Linked DNA regions of Arabidopsis thaliana. The protein of the gene in region 4 interacts with the protein of the main gene of each other region in a pairwise test. Each region holds a gene or a part of one and is shown on either strand. Other genes may lie near its edges.

What was found.
Region 1: the proteins of AT3G25805 (region 4) and AT2G38330 interact in a protein complementation assay, tested with the Arabidopsis thaliana proteins (one large-scale study listed by BioGRID).
Region 2: the proteins of AT3G25805 (region 4) and RING interact in a protein complementation assay, tested with the Arabidopsis thaliana proteins (one large-scale study listed by BioGRID).
Region 3: the proteins of AT3G25805 (region 4) and AT5G08050 interact in a protein complementation assay, tested with the Arabidopsis thaliana proteins (one large-scale study listed by BioGRID).

What each region holds. Positions count from the first base shown.
Region 1 is NC_003071.7:16,060,309-16,068,997, forward strand, and holds AT2G38330 (MATE efflux family protein), read left to right. Parts: upstream 1-4,194; 5' UTR 4,195-4,262; coding exon 4,263-4,477; intron 4,478-4,557; coding exon 4,558-4,667; intron 4,668-4,753; coding exon 4,754-4,906; intron 4,907-5,009; coding exon 5,010-5,131; intron 5,132-5,233; coding exon 5,234-5,369; intron 5,370-5,521; coding exon 5,522-5,618; intron 5,619-5,716; coding exon 5,717-5,817; intron 5,818-5,895; coding exon 5,896-6,059; intron 6,060-6,199; coding exon 6,200-6,271; intron 6,272-6,359; coding exon 6,360-6,476; intron 6,477-6,557; coding exon 6,558-6,653; intron 6,654-6,739; coding exon 6,740-6,861; intron 6,862-6,949; coding exon 6,950-7,010; 3' UTR 7,011-7,129; downstream 7,130-8,689. Other genes in the region: DREB19 (Integrase-type DNA-binding superfamily protein), read right to left, coding at 7,139-7,873; AT2G38350 (uncharacterized protein), read left to right, coding at 8,033-8,083.
Region 2 is NC_003075.7:10,710,964-10,717,745, forward strand, and holds RING (SBP (S-ribonuclease binding protein) family protein), read right to left. Parts: upstream 3,783-6,782; 5' UTR 3,673-3,782; coding exon 3,617-3,672; intron 3,529-3,616; coding exon 2,670-3,528; 3' UTR 2,447-2,669; downstream 1-2,446.
Region 3 is NC_003076.8:2,574,898-2,581,674, forward strand, and holds AT5G08050 (wiskott-aldrich syndrome family protein, putative (DUF1118)), read left to right. Parts: upstream 1-3,313; 5' UTR 3,314-3,520; coding exon 3,521-3,619; intron 3,620-3,689; coding exon 3,690-4,067; 3' UTR 4,068-4,308; downstream 4,309-6,777. Other genes in the region: GDPD6 (PLC-like phosphodiesterases superfamily protein), read right to left, coding at 255-434, 529-684, 761-979, 1,071-1,255, 1,344-1,527, 1,602-1,783, 1,861-1,918; TOM5 (mitochondrial import receptor subunit TOM5-like protein), read right to left, coding at 2,461-2,538, 3,090-3,176; AT5G08055 (Defensin-like (DEFL) family protein), read left to right, coding at 4,504-4,561, 4,718-4,905; AT5G08060 (furry), read left to right, coding at 5,691-6,086.
Region 4 is NC_003074.8:9,423,412-9,431,115, reverse strand, and holds AT3G25805 (uncharacterized protein), read left to right. Parts: upstream 1-2,838; 5' UTR 2,839-2,946; coding exon 2,947-3,267; intron 3,268-3,802; coding exon 3,803-3,896; intron 3,897-3,984; coding exon 3,985-4,022; intron 4,023-4,108; coding exon 4,109-4,244; intron 4,245-4,343; coding exon 4,344-4,762; 3' UTR 4,763-4,878; downstream 4,879-7,704. Other genes in the region: AT3G25810 (Terpenoid cyclases/Protein prenyltransferases superfamily protein), read right to left, coding at 102-311; PP2AA2 (protein phosphatase 2A subunit A2), read left to right, coding at 5,333-5,972, 6,050-6,162, 6,243-6,322, 6,483-6,624, 6,726-6,806, 7,072-7,176, 7,321-7,503, 7,624-7,704.

The DNA.
Region 1 (8,689 bases), on a different chromosome or scaffold from region 4:
TGTTTGCTGCATCCAATCTAATACACCGTTAAACAATAAAATTTGTTATCTCTCAAATCTGATCATCTATTCCAACCTGACTGTTTTATTCTAGTATTTTAAGGCCAGGTATAACGAAAACAAAGAAAAAAGTTCAGCGACCAAGACATTTTGACATCAGGCTCAAACGGTCAAACCCACGAAAACTTTTACCTCATTTCTTAACCACGCAGTGTTATTTGAATAGCCTTAATAGGCTAATACAAAACAACAAGCCATCGATTACAGTTTTAACTATAATATTACAAAATCTTAAACCAAAACAAGAAAAGATATATATTCCGTAAAATTAAAATAATATTTTTAATATAGTCATTATGTAAGTTAGCTCTTTCGACAAAATCATTATAAATTAGGCCATTTTGTAAGTTAGTTCTTTTATCGACAAGCCATTATAACTTAGGTAATTTTGTAAGTTAGCTGGACTATAACCAATTTTTTTGTTTCACATCTAGAGTATAAAACACATATATATTGACCGTACAACTTTAGTCAAATTAGAAACTCTGTTTTATCTGCAGAAAAGAAAAAAAAAGAGGATGAATTATGTAAATACTTCAGGATTAGAAATAATGTCATCGTATATCTCTTGATATGAATACATATTTTACTTGACTAGTACCGTAGTCGGCAGGAAAATGACACAAACAACCATCTAAAAAGATAAAGTAAGAACTAAAAAGTCTTGACATTCATTAGTTTAATCATTTTCTGTTAACATATATGGAAAAAACAAACTTCACCGTTATTTACCTGAATTTACCTATTTGGGTAAGAATTGTACCTCTGGACCTCTAGTATTTTATATACACCTAAAAATATAATTTTGGTCGGGAAAATATAACTCTGTTTAATTAATTAAATTTTCAGTATTGTGTAAGTGTAATTATAGAAATCAATTTTATCCGCGTAACAAAATAATATAAAATTATACTTTCAAATCCACGAATATATATTGTGAAGTCTCATAGTTTGCAAATAAGCATTGGTCTTCGGCCGACAAAAAAAAAAGCATTGGTCTTCGAATATTTTGAATATCGGACCAATGGTATATAATTAATAATATGTGGTATATAAATACATATTTATTTAAATCACAATAGGATATGCAATGTGTGTATATATACATATACGTAATTAAAGTCCGGGTTAAACTGATAGCATATATTATAATAGATGCATCTATAATTGTTCGTCAACAAAAGCATTATCATGTATTTTGAATTAAGCTTCCTTCATTTCTGTGAATCAAAAGGCCTCAGAAGAAGAAACTAAAGTCAAACAATCAACGGGATCCAATAAATCACATCTGGACTATATAGTATCAATACTTTCCACACTAAAAAAGCTAAGAAATTTAATAAATACATTATTATAGGGGGGAAAAAAAGGTAGTCATCAGATATATATTTTGGTAAGAAAATATAGAAATGAATAATTTCACGTTTAACGAAGAGGAGATGACGTGTGTTCCTTCGAACCCGAGTTTTGTTCGTCTATAAATAGCACCTTCTCTTCTCCTTCTTCCTCACTTCCATCTTTTTAGCTTCACTATCTCTCTATAATCGGTTTTATCTTTCTCTAAGTCACAACCCAAAAAAACAAAGTAGAGAAGAATCTGTAAAGCTCAGGAGGGATAGCGCCATGATGATCACATTCGTTATCTATTTTTTGGCGCTATCCATCCTGAGTTTCATTGGCTCTTCTTACTACAATGAAAAAGGCCGAGGCAAAACGCCTAAAATCACTTGAGAATCAATTCTTTTTACTGTCCATTTAAGCTATCTTTTATAAACGTGTCTTATTTTCTATCTCTTTTGTTTAAACTAAGAAACTATAGTATTTTGTCTAAAACAAAACATGAAAGAACAGATTAGATCTCATCTTTAGTCTCTTTCTCCGGTGCAGTCAGCCACCGTCGGGTAAGTTTCATCTGTATTTTATTAATTAATTACAATTATTAGTGTTCTTATTACCGTTTTGGTAAAATTAGTTAATTAATGTCGGTCCAAACATTCTAAACCAATTATTCTGAAAAGGGTGAACGCCAATCAGTTATATACAATATTCTTACATTAAAGTAGAATCGGAGATGTTACATACTAACCAAAAGTTACATATACTAGTATCATTTTCTTTAAGATTTGTTTAGGATTTACTCACTTTATAGTGCTCGCGGTTGGGGTCAGGGTAAGTGGGGAACAGATATGCTCTGCATGAACCACGTGGACCAACATGCATATACACAGTTACATTTATTTTTTCTAGTAGGTTCATTTGCAAATTTTCCAGTATCTTGTATGTTATCTTCATGGTGAGTTTTTTGGTCGCATATTCTTGGTGATTCTTCTTCTACGTTTTCACTTTCTTCTTCAGAGACCTTATTAATATGTTAATTGCATGAATTTATGTAACATTCAAGAAAAAGAGATCGAATACAAGAAACCGGAAATTTAATTTCTAATTTGAATTCTATGCATGTTTGTTTCTTTGCCAATTTAGTACGAATATATTTATGGTCCGGAGTTCTAACCAAAGATAGTTGCTCTGTATATAGAAGTTATACATCTCGCTTGTTTAAACTAAATAACTATTTAGTTTGTCTTGGTAGTCCAGTGACTTTCTGCAAACATTGGGATTTATAATATAGTCAAAACGTTGGGATATGTAGTATTCATTTTCGTTGTAAAAATCATTATATTTTGCAAAGGTTGCAACGTAAAACGTTGTATTGAATTTAGGAGAAAGTAGCCATTTACAATGAATTTTAGTGACAAACTGTTGTATACAGCCTGTGCCACTAAGTATGTCTATATCTAAATTTGGAATGGATGATAACCAGTATTGGTCAATAATGGATAATTTGGTATTTAGAATTACTAATTTGGTATTTTAGTGACAAACTGTTGTATGGAATTTAGGAGAACGCGTTCCCAAGCTATATATTATATGTATTTCATTCTTTCATATGTTATATTATGAATTGTTATAAAAAAGACCAATGAGCAACGGTTTAAGGTTTAATCAGTAATCGATCCGACCAATCATATACAAGTTCCTAACACATCTTCTAACTACTGAGTAAAATAGTAATGCTATTACAAAGGTTTTTTCTTTTCAAAATACAGCCTAATGCTACTACAAAATTCTAATGTTATAAAATAATCATAGGAGAAGTAAACCCCGGTATTTAATTAATACCTTACAAACTTACATTATTGATAAAGTTGAATGAAGAGTTATATGGTCCATTTAGTATTATTTACTTAATATGATACTAGTGTTAGACGTGTTACTGTATTTCAACGTGCATAATCAGGTTGTTCAAAAAGAGAGAGGATAGGTCTTCTTCTTCTGTAATTTGCTGGGACCGCAAGTCATGTGAGGCTGCTCTGCTGATGCTGCACGGCGTCGCAACTCTCTCAATAAATTCTTTTAACTAACGCTCCAATTTTCGATGTAAATTGGCTGACTTCAATTCTATGCCTTACTCTTGTACTCTATGTTTCTTTATCTATTAAAATCCAACTCTGCTTTTGAACCCAAAAAACAAAACAAAAACCAACTCTGCTGAATCATGAAACACGTCCTTGATCTTTATTTTTATTTTTTCCCAATATATGCTCTTAAGAACTAGTTATTGCTTTTGAACCCAAAAAAAGAATTCTGAGTTTTAGGATATCAAATGATCTTACAACTTTCTATATCAAGATTCTTGAACACTAGATATGCGGATTTCAAATATACTCCCAAAAATCAAAATATGCGGACCTATAATCCAAATTTGGATCCATTCAAAAAACAACTAAACAAAATTTTAAGTGTATAAAAAAAATGCAAATCCAAGTCACAAGATAACTGGAGAAAGAGATATTTCTTTTGAGTTGTTGCTAAATTGAGAAAGTGAGTGATAATACACGAATCAAACTCATGACTTACATATGAGAGTCACGGCACAACAAAGAAAAAAGATGAAGCTATCTTAAAGATACAAAGTGTAACATTGGCAGAAAAAAAAACAAAAAACAAAGTAACAAACAAACAAGCTATTTAAAAGCCCAATAAAAAGCCCATTAAAGGCCCATCCATAAGGTACAGCTAGTTTAGACATGTGACCGTTTAATCAGTTAGTGAGTAGAGATAGATAAAAAGAGTGAACATCAACATGTGGCTCTCTTTCTTCCTCCTCCGCCGAGATTTTTCTCCGTCTCTCGTTCTCCGCAATGGCGGCGGTCGCTACCTCCTTCTGTTTCTCTCCCCATCGATCGCCGTCACGTTTTGGAAACCCTAATTCATCCATTCGAAGAACAATCGTCTGTAAATCATCTCCTCGCGATGAATCTCCAGCCGTCTCCACTTCTTCTCAGCGACCGGAAAAGCAGCAGAATCCTCTGACTTCACAGAATAAACCGGATCATGATCACAAACCGGATCCTGGGTTCGTACCTTAGCCTAATAATGCTTCTTCTGTATTCAACTTTGAATGGTTTCTAATGTATTTGATTTTTTTGGGTTTAGGATTGGTAAAATTGGAATGGAGATAATGTCAATTGCATTACCTGCTGCATTAGCTTTAGCTGCTGATCCTATAACATCTCTTGTCGACACTGCCTTCGTTGGCCATATTGGTAAATACTTACTTTTTGCTTGGTTTCAACAATTTCACATTTTTCGAAAGTTCACATTTTTAACATTCATATGTGTAATGTGACAGGTTCTGCGGAATTAGCTGCAGTAGGAGTGTCAGTTTCTGTATTCAATTTGGTGTCGAAGCTCTTCAATGTTCCTTTACTAAATGTCACAACATCGTTTGTTGCGGAGGAGCAAGCAATTGCTGCTAAGGATGATAATGATTCTATAGAAACAAGTATTTTACTTTCCTTAAAGCTTATAATGAAAAATGTTTTTATTGTTTTCTTCAAAGATTGTTTCTTTACTTTGAATCTGTTGTTTATTTGTTGGTGTTAAAGGCAAGAAAGTGCTGCCTTCGGTTTCAACTTCATTAGTTCTTGCTGCTGGAGTTGGTATTGCAGAGGCCATTGCGCTATCTCTCGGGTCTGATTTCTTGATGGATGTCATGGCTATACCTTTTGTAATGTCTCTAAGCTCACGTTGAACTTCTTTTATATAAGCTGTTATCTTTGAAGTTTTGTATAGCTGATCGCTCTTCTTTCTCGGTTTGTAATTTTTTTAGGATTCACCAATGCGGATACCAGCAGAGCAGTTCCTCAGACTTCGAGCGTATGGTGCACCACCAATTGTTGTTGCATTGGCTGCGCAAGGAGCTTTTCGAGGTTTCAAGGACACAACAACGCCTCTATATGCCGTTGGCAAGTATTGCACAATCATCTATTTTTTTTGTATTTATGCATGAATGGATCTGAGGAAATAAATAGTATATGCGCATTAGCTCACTAGACCGTATATATGCATTAGCAGTTTCACATACATGTTTCTAATATGGTGAACTCTATATCAACAGTTGCGGGGAATGTACTTAATGCGGTATTGGATCCAATCCTGATATTTGTCCTTGGTTTTGGTATCTCTGGTGCTGCGGCTGCTACTGTGATTTCTGAGTATGTCCAAAAATGTGGTAATAGACTCGTTTTCTAGTAAAGCATATCTATCTTAATTTGTGGCTTCTTATGTTTCTCACTTGTCAACGTTTCTTCAGATACTTGATTGCATTTATTCTTCTATGGAAGTTGAATGAGAATGTAGTTTTGCTCTCTCCTCAAATCAAAGTGGGAAGAGCCAACCAGTACCTCAAATCAGGTAATTCCTTAAAATTTTCAAGTTTTCTTTAAACGATTCAGAAAGGCTACTATATGAAATGTATTGATTCATGCTTAGGTGGGCTTCTCATTGGTAGAACGGTGGCTTTGCTTGTGCCATTCACATTAGCTACTTCGTTAGCAGCTCAAAATGGACCCACTCAAATGGCTGGCCATCAAATCGTCTTGGAAATCTGGTTGGCTGTCTCTTTACTCACCGATGCTTTAGCCATTGCTGCACAGGTCTAATATCTTTTGCAAATCATCTTCGAAACAGACAATCTCTACCAAGATTTACTGTGATATAAGAATCCCATTAGCATGATCCAAGATTACCTTTTGGGGAGAAGATTTTCACTTATATTTTCTACCTCTATTTTCAGAGTCTTCTTGCCACCACTTACTCTCAAGGAGAATACAAACAAGCCCGGGAAGTTCTCTTCGGAGTCCTTCAAGTTCGTATTCATAATTCATTACATCCCTAGTTTATATCCTACCCTATATATTCGATGTTATAATGTACAATTGCAATCTTTTAAGTAGGTAGGTTTAGCAACTGGAACTGGTTTGGCTGCTGTATTGTTCATCACTTTCGAACCATTTTCAAGCTTATTCACAACGGATTCAGAAGTTTTAAAGATTGCTTTGTCAGGGACCTTAGTAAGATCTTATCTTTTAATCCAGAAAGAGTTTGAAAAGGGTAGTCTCAGACAATATCTAAATAATGTTGGCTGGATGCAGTTTGTGGCTGGATCTCAACCGGTGAATGCTCTAGCGTTTGTTTTGGATGGGCTCTATTATGGTGTCTCTGACTTCGGATTTGCCGCTTATTCTATGGTCCCTTTTCCTTCTTCATCAATTGGTCGTTTGATTCTCCCTTTTCTTCACCTGGAAAAAGTTGATTATTTCTCATTTTGGAACAGGTGATTGTCGGATTCATATCTTCCTTGTTCATGCTTGTGGCTGCACCAACGTTTGGCCTTGCCGGGATCTGGACTGGTTTGTTCCTCTTCATGGCGTTGCGGTTGGTTGCTGGAGCCTGGAGGTAAACAATTAATTAAAAAGACCGTTCTAGTTTCAAGTTTTCAACCCATCCGAAATTTTTCTTAAAAGGATACTGCGTCATGTTTCAGATTGGGGACAAGAACCGGTCCATGGAAAATGCTATGGTCTGCTCCAGAGAAGCCAGAATGAAGCGGATCACTGTTTTTTGCGGTATGATGCGTGACTCTTAAGTTAAGATAAATGAAAATGGAGTAAACTAACAATGTAAAAAACATAGTCTCATAGTCATAGTATATTGATGCAGCATAAATCCTAAGCTAGAATCTGAAATACTCAAAATATGAATCGAATCCACCTCCCTGGTGATAACTGGAGCTTTGAGGTTCATTATACAACAATCCGTTATCCAATTTGAATCGATCATAGCTGTAACCTTCCTCTGATTTCACTGCTGGGTTCACTATTTCATTATCAGTCATAGGATTCTGAGTCTTGTCATGGCCAAGCTCAATAGCGTCTTCATTGTAGACTACATAGTCTTTTCCACCTTCCGTTTCAATCACGCCATTACCGGCTTTGTTAGTTTCCAACCAATAGCCTCCCGAACTTTCCGCCTCCTCGTCCTTCTTCCTTCCCCCACCCAAATCTTCCGGGAAATTTAACCTGGCATAGGGTCCGTACATGACACTAGCAGCTCTGTCGTAAGCCAAAGCAGCTTCAGCTGCAGTAGCAAACGTGCCAAGCCAAAGCCGTTTACTACGACTAGAGTTTGCACCACGGTGACTCACTGGTTCACGTATCTCAGCAACCCATTTCCCCCAAACCCTTTGTCGAACACCTCTAAACCGACAAACAGGATTCTCTGGTCCACCTTTTCCTCTCATACAACCTTTCTTCGAACCTTTGGCTTGAACCCTACGAGCTCTCGCCAATCCTTCTTCCTCCCATCTCTGTAACGTCGCTTCCACTGGCTCAACCACTCTTCTTCGTCTTCTCGAGGATACAACAGAAGCAGAGGAGCTCTGTTTCGATCCGTTATCTTCCTTTTCCATTGGAAAAACACAACACGTACAAACTGTAGAAAATATTACGGAGCGCAGTACAATCACTATTAAATTTCGAACATAAAACCAAACAATAAACTATAAATTTTTGTCTGCATAGATTGTCCTAGAATTCACCAGAGCCTTCAGAAATTAAGGTGGGAACACATGTCTAGATACCGTCTAAGAGAACACGCGTGGTGCTTACGACAATTAAATGTACGGCTACAAGACACGTGGTGACTTCCCAGTTTAGGCAGATTCTGGTATGCTAGGATTTGTTTTTCAATATGTTTTGGTCATTATAGATTTCTTTGCGGCTAAGACTTTGAAAATTATCGTAAATATCGTGAAGAAATAGATATTGTAAGTCTTGGGCACCAATCCACCTTAAATTGAAATTTTACTTTTTCAGTGTTTTTTTGGCTTACGGTGCAAGCCAGCAATTTGACATCTTCCACTTATTACTTTTCTGACAAACGTGTTTCTTTTTTTCTTTGTTTCAAACTATACTATAAAAATAAATTATTATTCCATGGTTACTTTTTTGAAGACGTTTAGTCCGAGACTTTTGGTACTCTCATTGGACTCTTCCCAGCTCAAATTGCGCGCCAACTAACAAACTGTAGCTTTTGCCTTCGCAAAGAACAATTTCTAAGTCACTGGCATTGACAAATCCCAAGTTCAAGGAGATTCTAGTTTCCGAGGTCAATACAACTTAGGATATTGCTTTGCTTTTGGTTATAGAGATATTTGCGACTAAGACTTTGTACTTTTTTGTAATTTACTAATTTTCGTTGATGGAAGATGTCAAATTGGTGACTT
Region 2 (6,782 bases), on a different chromosome or scaffold from region 4:
TGAAAGTAGGACTTTCATTAAAATTCAATAATTCTTTCCAAAAATATTTTGCAAAATGAATGGAGCATGAGGAAGGGCCAAGGAAGAAGAGAACCTACGATTTTGGAAGAATATCACCCATTCACTTTACATGTCTTGTCCTGAGATTCTATTGTTTTTTTCTTCGGATATCCTGTCTATAAATAATTTAGGATCTTGAATTTTCATCTCCGAAATCGCCATGTGAAAAATATACATATATATTATATATATTAACTAAGAACTAATGTACAATTATACAAATTCTTATCAACATATCTTAAATAGACGAGGTTAGTTCCAAGGTTGAAATGGCTCTTTCGTCCCTATTATAAGACAAAATTAAGTTTTCTTTTCTACGATTCGTCATTTAGTTTTCTTATCGATTGTAGCACTGTGTTTGCGTCTATGTTTCTACGTATGATGAATCACTAATTGGCCGATACTCAATTTTTATAGATGTTGGATGTAAATTACGATAAGTATTTTTGACTTTTCTCAAGATCAGTGATTAGATGAGCAATTAATGTAAAGAAATTTGCTATTGAAACCCATTTAAGAAGTCGGCGCAATATAGAGGCTCGTGGTCATGAAATCAGTGGATAGAGTGCTAGACCCGATAACATAACGATATATTCGCTAAAAAAAGTTTGTGCAGCCACTTATCTTCGTTTTGATATCTTGAAAAATAATCCTCAGAACAAACAAATTTCAGTTCAAATGATATATGGTAATGTTACGGGTCTAGTCACTCTAGCCATTAACTTCATGGCTACGAAAGTAATTTCACAATTTTCCGAAAATTCTGTATGTGATCATTTTTGAAACTGGTTTTACCTGATTCTTTTGATATGTTGTTGTCGGGTGCTTTGTAATATCGATCTTCTCGTATGATTGCCTCCTCTTGTCTTTCTAGTTTTTTTTTCTTATGGAATCTATCACATTATACATGTCTTGTGGTAGATTTGTAATGGGATTGGTCACACGATGTCATAGTATTCCTATGTTCCTTTTTTCTCTCCAAGGTATCTTGCCGTGTAATATTTTTCCATCTCTCAAATCTAGAGTACTAATAATTAAGAAATCTAAAGCCTAATAGATAGTGTATGGACCGACAAAAAATAATAGATAGTGTATGGAAGTATCCGAACAGCCCATTTGAGAAGCCAGCCCTTTTACGGAATCACTTCTTCTAGTATTTGGTTGTTATTCGGATAATCGGATCTTCTAATTCATGCTAGGTTTGGTAATGGTACGACGATAATGTTTGATATTATTCTAAAATAAACGATAACTATCCTTTAAAATAATATCTAAGACTTTAGAAACGCTTTATAGATTTTTATAGTCCCCACAAATAATAACAACCATGATTTTTTCTGATATCTAAAATTATAAGAGTATTTCGCATCAGAAAAAAAAAAAGAATACAATCCAAATATACTTATGAATTGTTGGAAGTAAATTTTTTAGACAAAGCTCCAATTAGTCACAAACATTATCTTTGCAACAATCACTAACTAATTTATTTTTTCTTATTCCCTTGTCCAAACTCGTATAAAGTATAAACAAATTAAAAGATAGGGTTAGGTGAATATAACATAAAACTTTGGGCGAGGGTAAGTAACTACGTAATGTAGGGGCATGGCCAAAAGGAAAAAAATAAGTATGGGTAAGAACGAAGACATGGAAAAATGTGAATTCAAACTCTCTCTTTAATTAATTTCTGTACGAATCATCGCAGAGTCGTACCATTTTCATTTTCGCCACTATTTCGTTTCGTGCCATTTGATCCAAATAATTCTAAGACATAAATTAAACTAAATTATTGGATAGAGACATGGTAACGTTTCTTGGACGCAATCATCGTAACTCGTGAATTCACACATCGTATTCATCGTTCTAATTTCGTCGTTTATAGAATTAATATAGGATATAATTTTAAAAATCCATTTTAGTGGGGGTATTTTATTTTGTCTAGACATGCACTGCACATGACATGATCCGAATATGAAATATTTATTACACGACAACTATAATGACTATGAACTGAAAATGTCGTTGAGACAATCGAATTCAGACTATTTCTTTTTCTTTTATCATAATTTATTTTAGTTTCGATAGCGAAGTATGATTCTTCTGGTTGAATATAGTTGCGGGGTTGGAAAGATAAAGGATACTTCCAAATTGCAATAGTATATATCCATAGACCATTTTTATACCTTTTTCAATTTATATCGACGCTATGATAATCTTTAAAAGGTGGTAGATAATTCAAACTCATGTGATCGACTTTGAGAATAAGCAACCAAACAACGGTGCAACTTAAAAAGAACTCTGGAATATTTACTTTTCAAAACATTTTCGAATCACTTTAAATTCATTTATATGATTTATTCTTTCTTTTTTTCCCACACATAATGAGAGGAGGAGCCTTTAAATTCTCTTCGACAAATTATTTCGTCTTTCTTTTTTGCAATTTTCAGTCTTGGATTCCATTTAAGTCGTAAGAAAATCAAGAGTTAACCAAAAACTAATTTATATGTACTTACAAAAAGAAAAGAATCAATTTGCTATTTCTTTTGCGAATATAATCCTAAGGAAACAAAAAAAATATAAATTAAATTGTAACGAACAAAAAAAAAAGATGGTCAAGAAGACATGTTAACATGCACACTAGCGTTCATGACCATATCGCAAACCGGACAAGTCCGTAACAAAGCCGAACCACCACAAACCGTACACAAACACAAATGACGACATGGTAACACCAACACACTCGCTTCTCTCTCACCGCACCGTTTACAACCACCACCAACCGCCGTTACCGCTTCACCACCACCATCACCGCAACAACTTCCACAACTCGATTCCGCATCGTCTTCTACAACGGCTGAAGCGGTTGGAAACGTTTCGAGTTGAGCAAGAACTTGGTCTAGGTTTGTTCGAAGAGTATTAGCGTTTGCTTCGTTGGTTTGAGCGATATCACGCCAAATCTGATTTTCGACGTAAAGACTCTTCACCCTCTCTTGTAAAACCCAGTTTAGGTTTCGAATCCGTACGATTTCATCGTCTTTCTCTTTTAGTTTCTTGGCTATAACGTTTTGAACCGCAGACGCTAACATCCGCGTTTGCGTTTGTTGCCTTGCTTCAATCTCTATTCTTAGCTTCTCCGTTTGCTGAGCTACGAACCTATCGATCTCTGACTGTTGTTGGTTTTGAATCTGAGATACGAGTTCAACGTTTATCAACGACGGTGATGATGAGTCAAACGCTACGGACCTCCGTTTAACCGGAGCGTTTGAGTCTGAGAATTGAAAATCTCGCTGGCGTTTTGTAGACAGAGGAGGAACAGTGAAATTGTAACTGAGACCACTTTCTGCTTTGTTGAAGTTGGCTTTCGCAGCTAAAGGCTCAACGGCGAAAGATTCTCCGGTTATTAACGGAACTTCACCGCCGGTAAACTCAAACTCGCCGTGGTTCATGTTTTCTTGAAATTTAACACAATCTCTGCAAATAACAAAAATAAAAAAGATTAGAGGAAAATAAAAACAGAGGAAGTTTGTTTGTGAGAAGAATATAAAAATGAGATTTTTACCTGTTTGGTGATATAAACTGAGAGAAAATGTTCATGTGATGAGCTTGAACAGCCATTGTTGTTGAAAAAAGCTCCTAGAGATTCTGAAACAAAGAGAGAGAGAAGAGGGAGGAGTTGTGGCGACTGGTGAAGAAATCTATGGGATTGGCTTTTATTTAAGGGAGAGAAAAAAGTCAATATTTTTTTAATTTTCTATAAATACATATTTATTACTTTTACTATTTAAATATTTTAGATATTTAGAATAATTATGAATTCAAATTAGATATTGACTTTCATGGTATATTACCAATTGTGTTTAGTAATTAAAGTTTTTGTAAATTAAATGTTAGTAAAATACAGTTGATTTTTGTAAAAGGAAAAAGAAAAAGAAACAACCAATTTTATGAACTTAAAAGGAATATAATCTAGAGAAATATAAAATATACTAAGTTTTTATTCAACAATATATACTATCTTTCTTGAAGTTTGCAAATATTGGGACGTGTAAAAAGTTTTTTTTTTGTAATATTTCTTTCTTATTTATTGATGCACTCATGCATGTTTCCTTAGCAACATCCACATAAACATATGCAAGCTTGACTAGTCAAAGAGCCATTATAAAATCAATAAATTTTTTTTTGCTAATATGTTAATGATATTAGCATAAACTATTCGATTTTTTCTTTTGTTGAAAAAACTATTAGATTTTATGTTCTTGTCCATCCTTTTTTGTATTATTTCTAAAATTTAAAGATGCAAATCCTATAAAAAAAGGTGCAAAGCTGTTTTTTCCTTAAATGCATTTTTAAAAATGTGTAAAGCTGTCTTTCCTAATAAAATTTTTATGTTAGTTCACTGTATTCTCTTCTGTAAAAAGATTCCAAATTAACCTCTCTTTAGTCAACCCATATTTTTCTTATTAACTTTTCCTTATTTTGTGATTACTGTAATTAAATTTCATATCAAAAGATAGTATTAAATATGCATACTCTTCATTTCTTCAGTTTTATTTTATTTAAAATTTAAACCATTCCCATGATTTTAATTTTACAAACTATAAAGTTACTCTCGTAATTTTATTCAATGTGGCAAAGCTCCGCTTTATATCTGCCATGTCATCTTCCACCGTGGCATATTTGGGACTTGTGATTTACTTTTCTAAATTTTCCGTGAGCTATCTTAAGATCATGTAGCGGTGCATTGTATTAAACGAAATGGCACAAAACAATAATTTAACCATTGTAAATACATTTCTAAAGTTAATATGTTTCTTAATTTTGTTTTGTCGTAACTGGTTAAGTTGCACGTGAGAAGCGTGTGGGGCCATGATGTGAAGATTGAGGCCACGTCTAAGTGGGACCAAGAAAAACTTTCTGTTTCATTTCTTCGTGAAATTTTCAATAAATTAATAATTGTTTAGAAATAAATAAAAAAGATTTATTGTTTCGGTACCACCAATTTTGTTTGCTTCTTGAATTGTCGTCTGGTCGCTTTTTAATTTTTAATTAGTAATTTCCGTATTAAAGAAAAAAAAAAGGAAAGAGAAAATCGGAATCATTCGATAATGTTATATAGTACGGACAAGTAGGTCTTGTCATAAAAGTGTGATTTCCTCGGTGTGGGACAGGTCGACCACACCAAACGAATAGTCTTTTTCTTTTCCTTATTTTCGTTTTCATGCCTCTCTCTATTTTTTTTTATTGTTAATCGATTTTTTATCCACTAAACAAACATTATCATGATGCGTATCTAATGTTGTTCATACCAATTTTTACATAGTAACTTGAGCACAAAAGAGTTAATCGATTATTTTTGTTATAGTTATTGAAAAAACACATATATATTTATTAGGGCTAGACATAAGTACTCGTTACTCGTCTTATATTCGCTACTTGATTCGTATTCGCCTTGAAAAAACAAATGCTCGTTTTTAACAAGGCAAGTAACAAGTAGTATAATTTAGATACTTGCAAGTACAAATCAAGTAACAAGTAATGAAAAAAAACTAATACTCGACTCGTTTGACTCGATACTCGTCATTATTTTACCATTTTCTATACATATATTGTATTGTTTTAGTGTTAGACACATTTTAAAACTATATTAGAAGTAAAGTAAATTTTAAATAAGTAAAAAATATGATAAATAAAATAATAAGTAATTTTAAGTAATTCGAAAGTGTTACTTGCAAGTAATTTATTTGCAAGTAATTCGCAAGTAGCAAGTAATAACTCGTAAATACTTGTAAATAACTCGTGAATATCAAGTAGTAACTCGTAAGTACATGTAAGTAACTCGCAAGTAGCAAGTAACAGGACAAGGCAAGTAACTCGCAAGGCAATCATATTTTAGCAAATACTTGAAATTGTAAGTACTCGTTTTCAATAAACCAAATACAATTACTTATTTGATTACTCGTACAAGGCAAGTCGAGTAACAAGTATCCCTAAAATAGCAAGTACTAGCCTTGCGCCCACCCCTAATACTTACGTTAAAGTGGACGATCTCAATCTCTTTTTACAACCGAGAATTGTGTAAATATCGGTTCAGTCTTTCTTTACCGATACATCATATCTATTTTGAACTCAACAACATTTTTTGGTGTAATAGAAGTTTTTCCACATATGATATTAAAAGAAAAATCAATTTAGAAGACCAAACCACGATTATTTTCCTTAAAAGTAACAGTACTGAACAACTTTGAGGATAAACCAGACTCGTCGAAAAAGACAACTTCGGTTGTCTTTTCTTTCTCAACTTCATTTGTATATATATTTTGTCGACATATTCGTTTGTCTAATTATCGATTTTGCTCCAATGTCAGAAACTAAGCCTAACATCATCACTTGTTCAGAGCTTTTTATCATTTTAGAATAGACTACTTATTTGTCCCATTATACGTTTTCAAATTCATTTTCAATTTATATTCTATATGTGGATTTCTAATTAATATTGATTTCGTAAGTTAGACAAACGAACAAGATAGATGTGGACGTACGTGGCCGAGTTCATGCTATATATGAAGGAAACGTGACAAGATGAAAACTCCTAACTTTTTAAAATCAAACAACTAGTGTGAATTGAATTCTCTAATCATGTATATAGCTAGTGTCGTCAATTGCTTTATTTTATAAACATATACATTGATTCTTTCAGTCGCGGATTAGTTATTACTAATTATTTG
Region 3 (6,777 bases), on a different chromosome or scaffold from region 4:
TTTGTCTGGTTTTGTCAAAGAGTCCCAAAGTTGTGAGTTTTTCTGCAGTCGGTTATAGTAGTTCATGTCATTAGAGAATTGACTTTTAAATCTTTGTAAGTGTTCCAACAATCAATTCAGAGAGCCATTTGGAAAAAGTAGAAGCAATATATTATGAAATCGAAGAAAATGGAAACATCCATGGGTTTGTAAAAAAAAATCCTAAGAGAACATAAACTAGCATAAGAAAGAAAAGAACAAATTCAATTGGAGAATCACTGTTGCTGAGGCAAAGGAGACTTCAATTCCTGGTAATTGTGTAGACTTCCAGTGAAATCAGTGAACAAACCATCAACACCGATCTTATTGAGCCAATAATCATACTCTAGGTAAGGGTCCTGATTAAACTCTAAATGCAGAAACTGGTTCTCATTACGGTATGTGTATGGATGGACCTAGCAAAAACATTATTCAACGTGAAGTTTAATGAAACAAATCAGTGATGATAGTAAGAGAGTGGAGACAGGAGTTCAAGTCCTACACACAAACCTGAAGATTACGCGAATGTGCTCTCGCAACTAAATCTGTTGGTGTCATGAGACGGTTATTGTTCACAGGAACAATTGTGTCTTTCCATGGACCAATCCCAATTACATATGGTTTAATGTAATCCAAATATGCGTCTGATGTGATCTCTGCGTAAGTCTGCATTCACATTCATTACCTTATGTATAAGCAATTTTGACATAATGAGAAAGGAAGAAAGTGAATATGTAAATACCTTATTAGTGTCTTCGGTAAGAATAGTGACATCGTCGATCAAAAACAATTTTGGTGAGTCTGTCATGTTTGAAATGTAAACTAGCGAAGTTGCTGCAAAAGACTGAATAAATATTGGCTGTTTTAACCAATCTTCAGACAGATATGAGCCTTTGTATCCATATTTCTTCAAAGTTTCCACAAATTTATCTTCAAATTTTTTACCATCCGCCCACTTCACCTGCACAAGTTTCCAAATACAATTTAACATCCTCTCCATTTGTTATCATCAATGACTAAAAGTTGAAGCTAAGATTTGATGGTTTGCTTACTTGCTGATTCATGAAAACCGGATTCTTGATCTCTGGATATATCCCAACCACTCTAGGTGCATCCAGTGCTATCGAAATATACTCGTCGAAGGTAATAATCGGGAATTTACCATTGTATTGTTGATCCCTGAAAGGATACCTCTGCTTTGCACCAAGTGTTTTCAGCTCTTTGAGAGTAAAATCAACTGTTCTTGGAATGTTCAATCTCATCGTCAAAATTTGAAAAAAATGAAACTATATCAAAACAAATGATAATGGAATGTTTTTAGTTACCAGTGAAGAAGCCGGTCATGTTCATTCCTTGGACTTCATAAGTCCTCTTACGGTCTGCAAACTCCTTATGGTCTGCAACATCGGTTGTATCATCGAGATTAACATCGTGGTGACATATAAGAACACCGTCTTTGGAAGACAAAATATCGGTTTCTATAAAATCTGCACCCTCCTCTATGGCCCTCTGCAATCAAAAAAACCTTGTGAAACCAGACAAAATTAGTGTAAAGGTAAGAGACTTTTGTATAGATCCAATACCATATATGCAGGAGCAGTTTCTTCAGGGAGCTCTCCGTTTGATCCTCTGTGTGCAAGGTTGTAAGGACGGGAAGTCTGAAGTGGTTTCTTGGTTGCATGTTTTGCTTCGCTTGGGAGACGATACAAAGGCCTTGAGGCACAATTAGCAACCAACAATGACAGTAAAAGCAATGGTAGAAGATCTGCAAAAATTATAACAAAAATTGCTTTAAACGAAGAATCAACTTAGACATAGAAACAATGGAGATTTGACACTTACACTTGAAGGCCATGACTGAATTTGAGCTAGAAAAATTCCTCCAACGACCACACTGCATGAATCCAACATTATATAGATAGACCTGCAACTTATCTTTAGAAGATTTAGCCAAAAAATCGTAACAACCCAATCAGCATTAAGAATATTCCTCTGAGAAATCTAGTATGCCAATAGAAGATAAACTCCGTGTTGTTTGAAAGTATATTCTTCTTCTATTCACTAGGTTTTAGTTTTACATTTTAAATGATCGCAGATATCATAAGGCAGTGTAGTTTTAGAACGAAGTGAAGTTGCAGATCCAGATTGTATTGCTATGTTCTAGTCTTTTGATCCTTTGTTAATTACAAAATGTACTTGCTTGTCGATCATGACAAGCCAAGTTTGTAAAACAATCTCTGGTTGAATGAAATTGTCGATGATAAAATGCAATCACGAAGCGGTTGTGAATGGAAAATTAACTCTTTTATAGCATCCCAAGACACAAATCAGAAACGAGTTCACACCAATTCTAGAGAAGAAAATACAAGAGTTTGAGAGAGTGAAAACTAAAGAGAGGCTCCTCCATTCTTCTCAAACTCCCATGATCCTCCATTCTTCTTCTCAAACTCCCATGAGATCCCCATAGCTACGCATGAGGACGACTCCTCCTGCAAACATACCAAGTGCTCGCAGAAGTTTCTGCAACCAAAAGGAATTCGTATGAGACAGATTTCGATCCAAATACTTCAAAGGCATGAACTATAATAAACCCTAAATCTCTAAGAGACCCAACATCCCCAAATTCCCATTCGAACATCCAAATACTTCAAAGGCATGAACTTAACTTGTGATTGATAAACCCTAAACCTCTAAGAGACCCAACATTCCCATTCGAACACACAATTTCATAAGAAGAAGACACAGAGATAAGATAAGGTCATCTGATTTGGCCTATCGAAGCATAGGAGAGAAAATCAATCCTACGTTAAATTCTGAAACCCAAAACGAACTCATTAAATTCAATTCCCATTCGAACACACAATTTCATAAGAAAGACAAAAGAATCACATTGTACGCTCAATTGAATCAATTTGTAAATCCTAAACCGTAATTCAAAATCGCTGTACAACTCATTAAATTCAGCCGAAAGCCCAGAATCTAATCATGAAACATACAAGAGAATCGAGACTTCGATATTCAATAGACAATCAAGTCGGAATTAAACGAAAGAGAGAATGTATGAAGGTTACCATGTTCACCGCCCATTTTTGTTCATCATGAACCTCGGAGTGCCAGAGTGCTTTCATCTTTTCGATAGAGACAACGTTGTTCACCATCTTGCTGCTGAAAAATCGAAACTTTTGATCGTCGAAAAAAGAAGAAGCTAGGGCTTTTAAAACGACGAATTGGGATCGGGAAATTTTAGTCGGTTAACTTATTAAGGGTTTACGTTTTGTTTAATTACCAAACTAACCTTTACTAATATACTAATAACCGGTAAAAAGTGATGTGATTTGGATTGATTTCAACCGGAGAAGAGTTAACCACTCGCCGAACGACACGTGTTCAACACAATCCTATTCCTCCTAGCAATCTCAAAGCTTGTGTGATCTACAAGCTCTTGGTTTCTCCATTGAAGAAAAAGCTTTGACAAAACCAGGGAAAGAGACAGAGAGAGATAATGGCGGCTAAACTAATCTGTTCGTCTTTAACAGTGCATTCAATGGCAAATAAGAAGCCATCACCTTCTGCTGCAACAAGAACAATAACCTCAAAGAAGGTAAAAGTTGAAAATCAAAATTTATCTTCTTATATGTCCCAAAATCTAATCTCTTTGTTATGTTTGGCAGAGCACAGCGACTCCACAGGTGAAACTGCTGACAAGAGTCGAGCAGCTCAAGCTTCTGACCAAAGCCGAGAAAGCAGGACTTTTGTCTTTAGCAGAGAAATCAGGTTTCTCTCTATCGACCATCGAGCGTCTTGGATTGCTGACCAAAGCAGAGGAGTTCGGCGTTTTGTCTGCCGCCACAAACCCGGAAACGCCTGGAACGTTATTCACTTTGAGCCTCGGTTTACTCCTTCTTGGACCGGTTTTTGCATATGTGGTTCCTGAAGATTACACTTGGGAAGTAGTGATTCAGGTTCTTGTGGCTCTACTCTCTGTTCTTGGTGGCTCTGCTGCTTTTGCTGCTTCTGGTTTTGTCTCCAATTTGCAGAAATCTGATTAGCCCGATCGTTTTTTTTTTGTATCAAATATATTTACCCGGTGTAGCAAGAGACTTTTCTGCATTTAAGATGAAAACTTTATAATGTATTTGATCTACATTGTATCAACCAGTCATTTTCACTATTTTCTATCTATGTAAATGGTTTCATATACAGAATCCAAGAGAAACGTTTTGAATTTCAATACGTTTACTTATTGTTTTTGTTATGTGCAACAAGAAGAAGTTGTCTGTCACAACAGAACATGAAGGGTTTGAATTTTCCAATAGACTAGACAAAACGTTACAGTATAATTAGCAAAAACAAGTTTTTTTCATCAACAGATCAACTAAAATTGTGGTATCCATTAGGTATAAATAAGAACAACATATATCTTTCTTTTTATCTGAAAACAAACCAAACTTAAACACTTATAAAAATCTAAAAGGACTAGTAACAATGGCCAGTTTGAAAGTTTTTTCTTTTGCTTTGATCCTTGTTCTCACTTTCTCAGTTGGTACGTCTTCTCTCTTATAACTAGGGGTATTTTCTCGAGTGTTTATAACACTAACAAACTTATTTTTGTGTTTCAATACAAACTTGTTACTTTAATTACAAAATTCCATGAACTCATATTAGGCAAAACTGTTTCAATTTTGTGTGATATTGGCAGATGTTGAAGGATATAATGTAGAGAGTGGTGGTTCCTTGTGTTGTAATAACCACCCGAAATTTGGAAAGTGCAACACAAACAATGACAATCAGAGATGTAACCGTTGGTGTCACAATGGATGCGGGAATGGAAAAGGCGATTACTGCAAAGCTATGTCTCACGGAGGACTATGTCATTGTTATTGTTAACTCACAATTAAAAAATTTATGCATGCGTTAATGCGTTTGTTTGATTACTAACATATGTATGAGTATGAAACTATGAATATCCCATGACTTCATAAGTAATAAGACCACAAAGCCAAAGAGTTTATTATATACTCTCAAAATCTCACCCAACTTGATGTCAGTTTCAATTTATAAAGGGCTTTTATAAAACCATGAATCATGTATTCTGTAACATTTTTATAATATAATATAATTGATTTGGTGTTAAAAAAAAAAAAAAATCTCATCACCACATAATCTCAATTTTTGTAACCAAACTAGTAGACTTGGATGTTAAATCTCGGTTTAAATGTTTGACCAATCCACTATCTCAGACCGGTGTAACCAAAGATGTGTAACAAACTCTGTGATGATGAGATTGTTAAGTAGGCCCAAAACTAAAATTGAATCCATACACATATTTCAAAAGAATAATATGTTATTTTGGGCCAACTATAATTGACAAGATATGTAACGATATTTGACTGGAAGTGTAACTATAAAACCTTAGGCCCAACTATAATGGATTCAAATTTTGTATTGGGCCTACTTTAACAATAATCTCATCATCACAGAATCTCAAAATCATTGACGACGTGACGTCTCTCTTCTCTCCGAGTTTTTGTAACCAAAGCAGTACACTGGGAGGTTATTTATCGGTTTAAAGTATTGAACCAATCCAATATATGAGACCGGTTTAATAATCCTTCGATTTCGATTCGAACTTTGGTTTCATCTCCCCAAATCGAAGCGAAGGTCTCTCAACAATGGCGAAATCAGTGTCGACGGCGGCTTCCTCGCTTGTGCAAAACCTTAGGCGGTACATCAAGAAGCCATGGCAGATCACCGGACCTTGCGCTCACCCAGAATACCTCGAAGCTGTTCCAAAGGCGACGGAGTATCGTCTCCGATGCCCCGCTACGATTGATGAAGAAGCAATCGTGCCTTCCTCGGATCCAGAGACCGTATACAACATCGTATACCACGGCAGAGATCAGCGCAGAAACCGCCCACCGATCCGGCGATACGTATTGACGAAGGACAACGTGGTTCAGATGATGAACGAGAAGAAGAGTTTTGACGTCTCGGACTTCCCTAAGGTTTACTTGACCACCACAGTCGAGGAGGATTTGGATACGCGTGGTGGAGGCTACGAGAAATAATCAGGTGATTATCAAATTTGAGTTTTTTTTTTCTTGTGTTCGGATTCATTTGATTATTGGATTATGAGCTGATGTAATCAGGTTTTGGACCTTGTGGTGGATATATTGATTTAGTTTCTTCGTAATGGCATTGGAATTTTCGACTTTAGTTTTAGGGTTCGTATCTAATCTCAAGGCTGACTAGATAACTGTGGGGAATTCTGGATTCTAGATTTGTTGCAGTTAAAGTTTCTTAATTGGAAAATGAATCTTGACTTCTGCAAGGTTGAAATTTTAGGCTTTAGTGTTTTCCCAAGTAATATAGCATGAGTGATGTTGTGATTACCGATTCGTGTAAGGCTCTAGGTGAATGCTTTTGAATTTAGGAATTAGGAATCAAGCTTTGTTATATGGCTAAGTGCATTATTGGCTTCTGGTTTGATTTCTAAAGTTGTACACTTTCTTACCAAGTTCTTTCCGAGTGACTGAATAACGTTTCGATTGGGAATTGGGGATGTCACTTAGTGAAATTGGGGTCATAAGCTAGTGGGCTAGGTCATAACTTAAACTTATGCTCAAGAGTGAGCCATCGTTATACCAATTCGATTCTACTAAATTTACAGTATAGTAAGCTTTTTCTAGGTTTTATGGTCGTTTTTGAAGTATTTTTCTCTCTGTGAGGTTAGAATCCAAACATTGATGAGCAGTTCTA
Region 4 (7,704 bases):
CATGCACATGTCAGTTTTCCCAAAATATTTACATGTGTAGTAACAACTTTTGTAATTAAAAACGTCACCAAATGAAACGTTAATAATGACGAATACTTTACCACATATTTGTTCTCGATGGAGAGGAGATAACTATGGTCCCATGAAGAAGGTTGATAGTTGCCCGAGCGTCGACGGAGGTCAAGAGGATTAGCATCCGGCATCGTTTTTGTCATGGATTTGGATATGAAACGACGAGGACGTTGAAGACGAAAATTATGGATACATGCATTTTGGTAAATAGGAGCTGAACCTATACACAAAGTAGCCATTGAATTAGTATAAGATTCTCTTCTTTCTGGCTGAATATATTGGAGAACACATACGTTTATAACTTTATATAGACAGAGTCAGAATGATGACTTAGAACACTATTTCGGTACATGATTTTGTTTCTGTTTTTTTTTTTTTTCAATAGGTTGTCCAATTTGGTTTAACTTGAAGTTTATTTTTGTGTATGTGCCAACTACAATATCTTATTTACCAAATTTATTTCTATTTTCACCATATAAAATTATAAATCATAGTCAATTATTTAAAGATATCTATTATTATATCTTTATTTACAAGATTACCAGATAAATAGTTATTTTTCAAGTATATTCAATTAAATAGTGTGACAAACTTTACCCAATTTTGCTGCATGTCAATACTCTTTTCGCAATGTCTAATATCCACTTTTTGTAACTGAAATTTATCTAATTAAAATCTTCTACATGATTAAATATAGAAGTTATAAAAACTGCGTACAAAGATTAAGTGATGGAGACAGTTCAAGTTTGATTACAAGACAGTTCAATCTGATGGCTATGAGTTTTGTTGGCAGACATGCCAAAAAAAATTAGGTTGTCGTCGATTTCATTTGTTCTTTAGGAGAAAAACATTGATAATCGAAGAAAAAAAGTTTGTAACTCCGTTTTAATGATTCAAATAACTTATATGTGTAGAGGATTTTGAAAAAACAATTTCCATATTATTTTAATACGAATTTACGTGTTGGTTTTTAAATGTTGTAGAGAGATATAATTAAATAATATAGAAGTAAACTTATTTGATTCAACTTAATAAAAAAAGTTAGTTTGAAAAAAAGGTTATGTGATTCTCTTGTTTTGTGATCGTAATGTACACAAAACGGTTTAAGTATTTTTGCAAACAATATCTATGATTGATGAGATATATCAGTGATTAACTAATAAAAGTGAGAAAAAGAACAATATTTGGATTCACAGTTCACACATAATGGTTTAATTCTTTTATTAATTTTTTTTTTTTTTCTAAACAACCAGAATCATACTTCAATCAATTCAAAAACTCTTTTCAATTTACTCATTTCAGAACTATGTTATCCTATTGTAAAAAATATAGTTCTAATGTATACTCAATAAGCCGTATGAAGGAAAATTATAGGCTTTATTCTCAAAATCACGCTATTGTATTTTTAAATTTGATAAAATTCATCAAAAAAAATTTAACAATATAGTCTACGCTACTGTGTTTTATATTTGATAAAATTCATCAAAAATTTTAGCAAAAATGAAAAGCAAACAAATAAAAACTAACTAACTTACTTTCATCCCAATGTAGTAGAAATTCATGACATATGAAGAATCATTAAAGACCTTTTAGATCCCTTTGAATTTGGCAGGAATTCGAAGCCACATCGTACATTTGATATCTCCAATATATCACGAATCGTCTAGTTTTTTTGTGGATTAGTTTGGATATGTCTTGTTAGGATATGTATTATCTTTTCCTTTTTCAATAAACCCTACTGAATCTAGGGTTATGATTCCACAAAAAGATCTATAAGTTTTTTCTACTCCAAAGACAATTGGTTTTGGCTCATGGGATTCTTCCCATTAGAGAGTATCATATGTATTCTGAAGTGAGTAAACAACTTTAGAAGATGGCAAACAATTTTAATGTATTGAAAAACAATATTTAATCGCTTTAACCATTTTTTGTTTCTCCAAACGAGTTTTTATTTTTGCGCTAACTAATAAAAACTTATTTAGATGAACAATGAATCTTAATATTGCTATATTAAAAACCATTAAAAGAATACATACGTATAAAAGAAATATCTCTTATATTATAAGCATGTGATATTTTTGTACAGACCATAACAACATAAATAATTATATAGAATCCCAAGAAATTGGATTACACGTATACACATTACATACAACAGAAATTTAAATGTATCTCGATACATTTTTATTTTTTTAAAAGGTATAATTTCTTCAATAATTTACATATAGAGAAATAAGTCAGTTCTCTTTGTATTTGGTTCTTTCTTGATTGAATGAATACAAGTATTTTGCACACAAAAAAAAAAGAGAAATAACGTAGAAGAAATAAATTATGTTTTGGTCCACACTTAAATTATATGATAAGATATTCTAATGAGATTAGAAAACTATCTACATGAATAAATCATACGTTCCACAATAATTAAATGAAAATAAATAATAAAATTAACCAAAATAGTTGAAATTGAATCTTGCCTACATGATTCAATGTTCTTTTAATTTTGAATTTATTTATTTATTTAACTAAGCCTCTAGATATAAAGCAAAGTTATATAACCATGATTTTGGGGTTGTTAAAAGAAGTTGACGAAAATTGAGGAATGTCGAATAATAATGATGAAAAAGATATTTGGCTTAGCACCCATAATAATGATGTGACTATCCAATTTCAGTGTCTCACCGAAACGGCGTTTTATAAGGCCGTGGGCCAATGGCCTGTTTAAAGCCAACTGTAATGTGTAATTCGATTCAATTAAAACGACGTCGTTGCTTTCAAATTTAGATAACCAATACGCTGCCGTTTTAGCAAGTCTCTCTCAGATAAATAAAAAAAATTCTCCGACTAAACGGTGGATAATGCAGTGAAGGGACGACGATGATTCTGATAACCTCACCGACGTTGACATATCTCCGTCACCGTCTCCACAGTTCCCAAATCAAATCGCCACAAATTCGCCGCCATTTTCTTCGGAGTAGAGAAATCTCCACAGTCGATCGCTGCTACAATCCATGGCAGTCTACGAATCGTTTCAAATTACGAACACGAGACAGTTCCTTCTTATGCTGTGCTCGCCGGAAACCGGAGACGGCGACGGTAGAGGTTGAAGATGATTCTATAAGGAGAATTGTTCGGTATCTTCTATGGACTAGTGAAGCTGTGTATATACTATGGCTCTTTCTTCTCCCTTACGCTCCTGTGAGTGATAATACCTTCAAAAATTCGTATTCATAGTTCCTGAGATTGAGACATTGATATATCTGTGTGAATGTTTCTAAGGTTTATGTAGAATCACCACATTGATTAATCTTGAAAGTATTTAGGATAATTTTAGGAATTGAGAACCATTTCAATTTCTCTGCTTGAATGTTTTGAGAATCTAGTAGGTTTGTTCTTTTTGAATCATACTCATAGTTCCTGATATAGCCATAGTTCTATGTGGCTACTAATTTATCTATGGATTATGTGAATGTTTGGAAGGTTTATGTAGCATCACATTGATGAATCTTCAAAAGTAATTTGGATTTTGGATGATTTTAGGAATGAGAACTTTTTCAATTTCTCTGCTTGAATGCTTTGAGAATCGAATAGTTTTGTTGTTATCTTCAACTTATTACTGAGATTTGCTCTTCTCTCTATAGATTATCATGATATGTGCTTGTGGTTAGCATTATCTTAGATTGTGTAATCTTGTATGGTTGCTTAATTAGAAAATAATCTCTATGATCAACAGGGAGATCCAGTTTGGGCAATTAGTTCAGAGACAGTGAATTCTCTTTTGGGACTTTCTCTGAATTTCTTCTTTGTCTTGCCTCTTACAAACGCCGGTATGTTCAGCCTTAAGATATATCGATTTCGTTTACCTGTTTGATCTTTGATGAAAGTTTCTTGCTTATGGACTTTGTGACAGAACAGCTGGTATTCACTTCTTACAAGCTCCTGTTCTTCACCCGGTTTGTACCTTTGAGCTGAACAGGTTTTTGTGTATTAGTGAAAGTAAATCGTTCTGAAATTGTTTTTTTTTTTTTAAATTCAACAGATGGCTGAAGGGTTATTCAACTTTGTAATAGCTTGGACACTCATGTTTGCTCCATTGCTATACACAGACCGAAAGAGAAATCGATACAAAAGCTCTCTTGACGTCTTATGGAGTCTCATGATGTTCCTTACAAACAGTAAATACAACTTTAGTTTTTATTTAAGAAGTTCAGTTTCTCTGGAAAGCAACCCTCTAAACTAGATTATTGGTTCTGTTGATCTCATGTTGCAAACAGCGTTTCTAATCCCATACATGGCTTTACGGCTCAATGACGCTGACCCAGATGATAAACCAAGCAAAAGGTCTCAACTTGGTGAAGTGATGACCAAAGGTGCACCAATAGTTGGTCTGACCGGAGCTACGGTGTGTCTGATATCAGCATTGTGGTCTCTCTACGGTCGAGCAGATGGTGATTTCGGTGGAATCATGGACAGATGGCAGTATCTGATTGGTTATTTGGGATCGGAGAGACTAGCTTACGCGTTTATATGGGATATATGTCTGTACACAATCTTTCAGCCATGGTTGATTGGAGAGAACCTGCAAAATGTGAAGAAGAACAAGATTGAATTGGTGAAGTATCTAAGGTTTGTTCCTGTTTTTGGTTTACTTGCATATCATTTGTTTCTCAATCTCGAAGATGAATCAATTTAATTTGTTAGTATACACACATATTGTCGTTGTACTTATAACAAATGTAATTATATTATGGAAATTTTGTTATGTCATTTTTAGAAAATTCTATCATTTGTATCGGTAATGTTTTTTCCACATTTGAATTTATATTTCACGAAGGAATAGTGAAAACTCTATAAAATTGGTAAATTGCAAGAAATGAATCGCAAAAGTAAAGTCCTGACCGAAACAGCATAAACGTCGTGGGCCAAAAGGCCCGTTAAAGCCCATTTAAGAAGGGTATGGTTCCAATTAAATAAAGACGTCGTCGTTTGCTCTCAATAAAGAAAAGAGACATTTCGCCATTAGATCCTCTTTTTTTTCTTCGTAGGTCGAACGAAATTTTGTGTTTCGTTGAGGAGAAAATTGAGCCGTGTTTGTGTTGAGGTAAGACCCAATTTCCGATTTGATTGTTGGTCTGTTTATCTTTTGATAGAAATGGTAATTTAGATTCGCCTAATTGATCATCTCCTGAGAATTGGGCTCTGGAAATTGATTTTACGATCTCGTTATAATTATGCTGTAATTTTGTTGTTGGTGTTGTTGAAGATGTCTATGATCGATGAGCCGTTGTACCCAATCGCCGTACTTATAGACGAGTTAAAAAACGATGATATTCAGCTAAGATTGAATTCCATCAGAAGGCTTTCTACGATCGCTCGTGCTCTTGGGGAAGAGAGGACTAGAAAGGAATTGATCCCTTTCCTTAGCGAAAACAATGACGATGATGATGAGGTTTTATTAGCAATGGCTGAAGAATTGGGTGTGTTTATTCCTTATGTTGGTGGTGTTGAGTATGCACATGTTCTTCTTCCACCTTTGGAAACTCTTTCGACTGTCGAAGAAACTTGTGTTAGGGAGAAAGCTGTTGAGTCGCTTTGTAGAGTTGGCTCTCAGATGAGGGAGAGTGACTTGGTTGATCATTTCATTTCGTTAGTTAAGCGACTTGCCGCTGGTGAGTGGTTCACAGCTAGAGTATCGGCTTGCGGTGTTTTCCATATTGCATACCCGAGCGCGCCGGATATGTTGAAGACTGAGTTAAGATCGTTGTATACTCAGCTTTGTCAGGATGATATGCCGATGGTAAGGAGAGCTGCAGCAACTAATCTTGGGAAATTTGCTGCTACGGTTGAATCAGCGCATTTGAAGACCGACGTTATGTCCATGTTTGAGGATCTTACTCAAGATGGTATTGAACACTGAGCGTTTATTTACTCTACAGCATATATATTTGTCGAATTTCATCTTACGTTTTTTTCATATCAGATCAAGATTCTGTTAGATTATTGGCCGTTGAGGGTTGTGCTGCTCTTGGGAAATTGTTGGAGCCTCAGGATTGTGTCCAACACATTCTTCCCGTGATTGTTAATTTCTCGCAGGTGATTATGTCTGTAGGCTTTTATGCTGATGATCTACATTTAAAAGAAATGCTTAATCTTTGTACTTTTTCACTGAGCAGGATAAGTCTTGGCGTGTGCGCTATATGGTTGCAAATCAACTCTACGAGCTTTGTGAAGCCGTGGGACCTGAGCCTACTAGGTAAGAACGTTTTGCATAAACCTAATGCAGCATGTTTTAATACCTTTGATGGGCTAATTTAATGTTCAATATAGAAATGCATATCATCCAATAGGCTTAAGGAACTTGATGATCCCATTTACTTCCTCTTGATACTATTTACTGTGTCTTCTATTTTAAGGACGGAGCTGGTGCCTGCATATGTGCGCCTACTTCGTGATAATGAAGCTGAAGTACGCATAGCAGCTGCCGGAAAAGTTACAAAGTTTTGTCGGATTCTAAACCCTGAAATTGCTATCCAGCACATTCTCCCCTGTGTGAAGGTACATGCTTAAGAGAATTCAATTGTTTTCCAAGTTCCTTACAGAAAATCAACGTATAGTTGTTGCATATTACTGATGATTCCTCTTAATGCTACCTGTAGGAGCTATCATCAGACTCTTCTCAGCATGTCAGATCTGCATTGGCCTCAGTTATAATGGGAATGGCTCCAGTCTTGGGTAAGGTAAGAGAGTTTGCAAACAGAGATGTGTTGGTTCATAATGCACAAATTCATTTTAGCATCTTAATGATTATGACTATGTCCAACTGTTTTTCGTCCTGATGTCTGAAGCGTCTCATGTGCTCTTTCATCATTAAGAAGAAATATACTTAGGTTGTTACCAATTGTACAAAAATGAGTTTAATTGACGTGCGTTTCTTATACAGGATGTTTTGGTTGGATTGTGTATGTTGCAGATTTTAACTTCACGTTGTTTTTTCTATTTTAGGATGCAACAATTGAGCATCTCCTTCCAATCTTTCTTTCTCTATTGAAAGATGAGTTCCCGGATGTACGCTTGAACATTATCAGCAAACTTGACCAAGTGAATCAGGTTTGTTACAACAGAAATACCCAAACCAGATCATGCCAATGGCTTCATGATAACATGTTTTGTTTAAAAGACTTTCACTCTTTTAACTTGCCTTTCTCGCCCATCCATATTCAGTTGATGACTTCTATATTTTATATGTGGCAGGTTATTGGGATTGATCTACTATCACAATCCTTGTTGCCAGCTATTGTAGAACTTGCTGAAGATAGACACTGGAGAGTAAGACTTGCTATAATCGAGTATATCCCTTTGTTGGCAAGTCAGTTAGGTGTTGGCTTCTTTGACGATAAGCTTGGTGCTCTTTGCATGCAATGGTTACAAGACAAGGTATTTCTTTCTCTCTCTTACTTTTACTGGGAATGATCAGATTATACCGCTTCTTATTTATAGAAATTGATTTTTTTTTTTTTTTTTTTTTTTTTTTTTTTTTGCGGATGCTCTCATTAGGTTCACTCAATCCGCGATGCTGCTGCTAACAATCTCAAGCGGCTTGCTGAGGAATTTGGTCCTGAATGGGCAATGCAACAT